2 linked regions of the Astyanax mexicanus genome follow. The protein of the gene in region 2 interacts with the protein of the main gene of each other region in a biochemical or structural test. Links are inferred from orthologs where the notes say so. Each region holds a gene or a part of one and is shown on either strand. Other genes may lie near its edges.

Region 1 (3,836 bases), on a different chromosome or scaffold from region 2:
ACATAAATGATGAAACTTCTAGAATACACAAATAAAGTATAGTAAAGGAAACTCATTTGTGGGTCCGTGTTTACAGCAACTTTTAACTTGTGAATAAGTCACAAATACAATTTAAACATGAACATTGCTTGTATGCAGTAACGACTAGAAGTGTTTTCGTAACATTCAATAAAATTTAGATTTTCACCGAAAACTATTAAACAAAAGTTGTATCATAAACCATAAAACTTATAGTAATTTGAGTTTCAATTTCAAGTTTTTTTAAAGACAAATACCGTATTTTTACACTATAAAAGGTGCACCGGATTATAAGGCGCACTATAAATAAACATAAATTTTCTGGTCTATTTTCATCCATAAGGTACACCTAATTATGACGCATTATGCGACACTAGTAAGGATATGGGGTGTTGCCATGTTTTCCTTCTAATACACCCAGTGGAGAGACATGTAAAGCAAGCAAAGTTAGATAAACAAAACTGTAATTCTTTATAAAATAAAAATCAAATTAGCACTGGATGTTTATCTACATAGATTTTTAGAAACTGATCATTTGGGTGAGTAATGTGCTTCCGTTTATTAACAGTAAGCTTAGATTTCCACTAAGGCTGGGTGCAGCAGCATTATCAATAGCCGCTAATCGCCTGTAAACGCTTCACTGAGGAACCCTAAGTGTTCTGGTAAGCCAGGGCGATATTATCTAGCTGTATAAGAGGCACCAGATTATAAGAGATGGGTGTGGTTAGTAATGTACATTAAAATATCAGAAAAATATAGTTACTGAAACATCTCAGATCGCAATACATAAATATTGAATTATTGCAGAGCTCTACCTTAAGGAGTGCTCACCAGAGGCAGAGTTGGTGACTCCTGCTATAAAGATGAAACTTTAACATTTACTGGAGTAATATGCTACCCCTGGGTATATCTACTTTAACCTAAATACATAGTGTGTGTACTTTGTCCACTGCTACCCCTCACAGCTAGACAGTGTAAAAAAGGATTTGAGCAACCACAAAAATTATTATCAAAAACACACTTTTCAACAAAATACAGAATCACCACTGAAACTGAAAGAAGCTGGAGTTAGATCTTTTTATGGTGGTGGTGACTAAAAGCCTGTGCCCAAAGCTGCAATGACTCATAGGTCCCTGACATAAGTTATAACACAAAGTTTACAAATATGCTGCCAGATAAAAGTATCATATACATTTCTGACAACAATATGTACCTAGCTTACAACTATTTTATCATTATCAAACACCATTTCATTCACATAAATAAATTACTCATTACCAGTGAAGTCATAGCGGCAGATCTCCTCTTGTCGTTCTCTCAGAAGCGAGTGCTGTCCGTCACCAACTGATGAGTATAGAAAAGACTTATTAGAATTTAAAAATTGTAGAATCACTGTTTAATCCTATGAAATACCCATTTTCAATACTTATGTTTTAAAAATGTAATTTACAGCTTGAAATGTTCTCAAATTCAGAGGTAAATACTGTTCCACAGCACTGTAAAGGTAAAACTCTTTGGATACTGCTATTGTATTTCTCAGTTTTTAGTCATTTGAAAAAAGCAGGTTGCTCAGTTTGACAAATTTCACACCATTCAGGCTGTCCATCTCCCTTCCCCAGTCACCTTGCTGTGTAGTGGTGGTGTAGACGAGAAACCTGGACTGCTTTAGACCTGAACCATATAATTTTAAGTGTGGAATCCAGGTTCTGTTAAGGATCTGACAATGTCAGGTTTGAATAGAGGCCTTGTGGTAAGCATGTTAAATACAGTAATTGCTCATATCAAACCTAGTAGTGATACAAAGGACACTAACAGTTCAAGAATATGTGCAGACCATCCTGGGATCACATGTTTTCTTTTATGGCAGGGCTTCCAACAGGCATTTTCAGCAGGATAATGCTCGTCCATGCATAGCAAGGCTTTCCCAGAAATGTCTTTGCCAGAGTGGCCGATGGAAGTTGTGAACATTTGTGGGCTGAAGCTGAAACCTGTATGCATCCTAACAGGGTACTTGAGCCCCCTTTTAATTGTACATGTTTGCTTTCTGTCAATAATTTAATTCTGTTTCACTAATATTGTCATTTTTACATACACTTACATGTACCATGTTTAATACCATATCTTATTTACTTATTTTTTTTAAATATACACATCTATATATAATATACATATCTACATCCAATAAAATGAGGCTTTTTATAGTCTTATTTTTTTAAGTTTTATGTATTATGTAGATTACCTTTTTAGAGTCATCATGACTGAAAAAGATCCCAAAGAAAAGATCTCCCAAACAGTGGTGTGATTTTTTTTTCCTCCCAAAAATATAATTCATGCCATAGAGGATTAAATAAAAATGTAAATGTCAGAATGACAAATAAACACTCAATCATTGGAGTTGTTTTTATGGTTTATGCTGTAGAGGCTTAACTTAACTAGCAAACTAATGTGTAGAAAAACAAAGCATATAAAATACTGAAATAATACAGCACAACCACTAACCCAGCAAACTTATTCCAAACATGAGCTGTATTTAGCTTAATGTGTGTACCGGTTTATTTAACTGATAAACGACATGTAAATAAAGAATAAAGCTGTACATATATATATACACCAAGAGACTCCGCAGCAGCACATTAAGGATTATTAAAACTCATCAGGTTAATAATCCGCTGAAAACTCACCGGACTCTCCAGCAGCCGCTACCCGGCGAAAAGCTCAACAATCCCGGCCTTCAGTTCCCGCAAAGCCGAGGCTGACCTCAACACCAGCAGCAGCAAAATTCTCCTAAAACAGAAGCAAAAAATCGTGTTAAAAGAAACGAAGCGACGCGAGAGAAACACAGAAAGAGACACGGAGCTGCTCACAGAACCGACCTGCAGCACAGCTCTGACCGGCCAGCAGCTCTTTCTCCCGGCTACAGCAGCGCGTGGAGCGGTGGGTTCGCACCGCCGCCTGGTGGTCTGGAGCAGCGGCCTGCACAATTAGGCCCAATCTCATTTCACCCCATGGCCCTACCACTTACCCCTACCCCTTCTTTTCTAGTGTAACACCTAGGGCTTGATTATTTTCCTTGTTAAAAAATATGATAATTACTATATTACCATAGTTTAATATGTAGTTTCAACATTTTGTGGCCATTTTCTTTATGACAAGCATTAAAAAAACGCTAGTGTAACAGTGTTAAAAATGCGTTTTTAATATTTAACAGATCTAATCAACTAAATAATGCATGTGCATGTGTTAGTTAAAAGCATTAAGTGTAATTAGTTAGTAATTAGTAACTCTGTTGCTAATGCTCGCTTATTCTGTCTAGGCTGGCTAGCTGACAAATTCAAAATTAGCACAAATTCTAATCCAGCAAGCTACCTATTGAGCCATCTACTACTTTCATCTACTGTTTTTTCCTTCAAACTGCAGACACACAGTCACTGTGCTAAAGGCACTCTCTCTCTCTTTATCTCACTCACACACATAAAATATAATATAAAACTCAGTTCAATTAAATAAACTTAAGATGAATAAGGACCTGTAAAGTTAATTAAAAATTGTCAAATATAAAAGATATTTTGAGGTTTTGGTGAGCTGTTTCCACAATTTGAAACTTAAACTAATGTCAGGTTTTCTGAATCAGAAAGCTTGTGAGTTTACATTTTTATTATTTTAAAATTTGAATTTGTTTTATTTCTTTATTTATCAAATAAGTTTTGTTTTATTGTGTTTTTTTTATTTCCATGTTCTTAGTTTAATATTATGCATTTTATCATTTATCATTCTTATCATTTTACGCATTTTTACGTATATATTTTATTCATCTACAT
Region 2 (3,600 bases):
TAGAATAAAACAATAATGGTTATTTTACTGAAACATATACCTATAAATAGCAAAATAAGAGAGATGATTCAGAAACTGAAGTGGTCTCTTATTTTTTTTTTTCCAGAGCTGTATAACATATCTATAACACAACTGTTTATTCATTGCTTAGAGGAGAAAGTGTTTTAAAACTCATTTTCTAGTGAAAGCACAGTTTTAATGTAGAGGGTTTAATGGTGGTTACCTGCAGCTGCTCTCTCTACTACATCAGTGGCGTTCTGTCCGTCTAGAATCATAGAGCGCATTTTCTCTACAGCGGGCTGAGAGAAGGACCAGGTCCCCATTGCTGCCATCCTGCGGGTCACTGTCAACCCCTGATCAGACTTCACCTCCACAGCAGATGAACGAGCCGTCAGTGAGGAGTTTTAAAATACCTGGTTGATATTTTGAAGTATTACCAGAGAACTTCAATAGAGGAGAATACCCACTTAATCCACAATAACAATCATACATGAGTTTGTTAGACCACATGAGGGCGCTCACAAATGAGCCCAAAATGAATGGCTCCATGGAGTAAATGAGCAAAACCATAGTTAATAAACGTTTGATCACTTTAATACGGAAAACTGTATTATTATTCTCAACACGGAACAATTTAAAATGTTTTAAATACCGAAAAAATGGCTTTAAAGCTTTTAAATATATTTACCATTCAGCTCACAGTGGTAGAAATGCCAGCGTCTCTATTATCTAAACATTTTTTGCTATAGACAAATGGTAATATTTCTTTACTAACGTTTTCTTTACTTTTTTCTTTATTTTTTAGTAATATACTTCATTCTAAGTTCTTAGTTAAGTTCACCCCAACTCACTCGCGGGGTCCTCTAGCGGTTCACAGTAATTTTCTGACATAACGTGGGCGATAGAAACTAAGCAGTCTCGGCATAAACTATCTATCTCTGGTAGTACCGCGTTAGGGAGTTAAGAATCGAGAATTTCAAAATAAAAACTTAATAAAGTCTTAACTAACAAATAAAATCTTTAAAAAATTAATTCGTGTTTTTTTTATTTATTTATCAATATTTTTTTAGAACTCATAAGTAATAAATTACATGTATAGTGATCGATAGAGAGTCGTTCATATTTTAATATTCATGTAAATCTTTGGAGGTTTAAAAAAAAAAACAAGTGAAACTTAACTAAAAATCTTCGTTTTTTTAAACTTCATATTTTATTTTTATTATTGATATTGTTATTATTATTATTCGTATGAGTCGTTTATATTATATGTAATATATATATATATATATATATATATATATATATATATATATATATATATATATATATATATATATATATATATATATTTATAGGCAGTTTTGGGCAGTTAAATTGTCGATTAGAGTAGTTTATATTTTATTTATATTATATATGTTTATTTTTTAGGAGGGGATATATATATTTTTGGGAGTTAAATGGTCGATTAGAGTCGTTTATATCATATTTATATTATGCATTATATATTATTTTTGGGAGGGTGGAGGTTAGTGCTCGTATTATATAAAGCAGCGGAAGTGGTTTGGTAAAGCTGGCGGAACTTGCTGTGAAGTCCCGTGTTTTGCGCGCACCCGGAGACACAGAGAGAGGGGAGGTAAAATCAGACGCGGGTTTAATCTGATTTCTGAGTGTTTTAATGATTAACGGGTGTATTGTAATATTCAGGGTCTCCGGCTGCCCCTTCTGCCGTGCTGATACTGTAGCGGCTGGTTGTTCCAGTGCGGGGGTTAGTGTTGGAGCGACGACAGGCTACAGTTAGCACAGTGAGCTAACCAGCGGTTTCTGCAACCTGGACCCAGCCGAGCCTCCGCTTTATCTAACCGGGGCTGCCTGGAGTCTAACGCGCTGTCCAGCTGCAGTTTGGGCTGCGTGATTAGTGTAGTCTGCGGGTTTATATCGCTGAGTGGTTAATTAATATATGAGCTTTAACTCTGGTTAAAATCAGTAGCTGTATATCCGAACAGCGCCATTCATTCACTGTGACCTGATTTCTGTTCAACAACGCTTCTTACAGGAAAAAAATTCGCTCTTTCTCATTTGCTTTTCATAATTAGCGTTAAATGAATTACACTTAAATTCTGCGAGCTTTAATTCGCTTGTATGTTCATTTAATAAGAAAAAAATAGCTATTGGTTTTGATACGTTTGCAGGTTATTGTAGCTAGTGTGTTTACATTAGCTAAATTATCTAAACATAATTACAGAAATATACGAGCCTCAAGCGTCTCTATTCGTAATATTTTAGCAATAGGAGAAACAATCCAGTTACACACATCTAGCAATAATGAAGTTTTTAACCAGTAGACATAGTAATTCAAGATATCTACACTGAAACTTGCTGATGTGATTTTTAAGACTAAAACAGCTCCCCATACCAAAATAAATGTATTTTTGGATATGATGGAAGGTCCAGTTGTTAGTTGTGGTTGCCTGTCTCTCTCTGCCTCTCTATCTCTCTCGCTCTCTTCACGGGGCTGTGAGATTGTGAGGATGAGTGAGTGTTATTGTGGTAATGTTTGCACTTAGCGGGAGAGTCTGAAAGGAGCTCATTGGTACTCTGTAAACTTCCTGAAACCCACATGAATTTTCTCTGATCTGACACACATTGAATGGATGTGCTTTTAAACAAAGTTGTCTGTTATTTACATTCATTACTCGGGTAGACGTATAGATACTAGGGATACTAGAGAAATATAAACTTGAAGTATCTGTGCCACAGAGTCCTATAGTGCACTACCCCCTCAAACAAATTTATCTATAAAGCAATAATGACTCGTATTAAAATGTTAATGTTGACAAATATGGGATGCATTAGACTGCCTGTTTCATCCACATATATGTCAATTGAAAAAATGAATGCCTTTTAGTATTAAGCTAATATAATAAAGGAGCTTAGGTGGAACATTGTGAGAGCTTGAGTTCTTGCTGGAGTATGACTTGATGTGCAGGTGTGATGGATTGTAAAAAAACAGGATTTCGGAATGTTATGCATGTACTTCTCATCCAGCCACAATCAAATTTACTCTATCCACATGGAGGAATTTACATGGATAGGGTTTTTTGAAAGATGAGAAGCTGAAATAAAAAGCTGAAACTAAGTAGAAGTAATGTTTTTTTTTTTTAATGAAATTGAGAGAGAAAAAAACATACAAAACCACAATGTAAAGGTATTTATTGAAGACAGAACATTTGTAACATCATAGCAAACATACCAACTAAACTCAATATGGTTTGGTATTTATTTGGAAGAAATTATTGGTATATAAAATTCCATTCAGATGCTGCTGGGCACGAGCATTACCATCTACTGTGCTGTTTTCTTTGGGTGAAAATGCCTTCTACGGTGTGTTCCCAGTACACGTGCTGATGTGGATCGAAGAATGTTAAATACCATTACAACGTCATAAATAAAATGTCCCATCCACCTGGCACTAACTATCAGGCCCAGCTTGAACTCTGATAATTATTGTTGCCTTGCCATGTGCATGCTGTGATGCTTTACATTTAATATTTGACTGTGCTGCTTGATCTACTGTCTTCTAACTGCTTTTCTTTTCTTTTT

The links.
Region 1: the proteins of TATA-box-binding protein (region 2) and gtf2f1 form a complex in vitro, tested with the Homo sapiens proteins (3 studies listed by BioGRID, with this or other methods). The link is inferred for Astyanax mexicanus from reciprocal best matches to the Homo sapiens genes TBP and GTF2F1.

Annotation. Positions count from the first base shown.
Region 1 is NC_064426.1:8,389,238-8,393,073, forward strand, and holds the start of gtf2f1 (general transcription factor IIF subunit 1), read right to left. Parts: upstream 2,896-3,836; 5' UTR 2,700-2,895; intron 1,363-2,699; 5' UTR 1,309-1,362; coding exon 1,297-1,308; intron 1-1,296. UniProt on the Homo sapiens protein: TFIIF is a general transcription initiation factor that binds to RNA polymerase II and helps to recruit it to the initiation complex in collaboration with TFIIB. It promotes transcription elongation.
Region 2 is NC_064414.1:38,662,273-38,665,872, forward strand, and holds the start of TATA-box-binding protein, read left to right. Parts: upstream 1-1,483; 5' UTR 1,484-1,633; intron 1,634-3,600. Other genes in the region: zgc:153169 (N(4)-(Beta-N-acetylglucosaminyl)-L-asparaginase), read right to left, coding at 224-332. UniProt on the Homo sapiens protein: The TFIID basal transcription factor complex plays a major role in the initiation of RNA polymerase II (Pol II)-dependent transcription.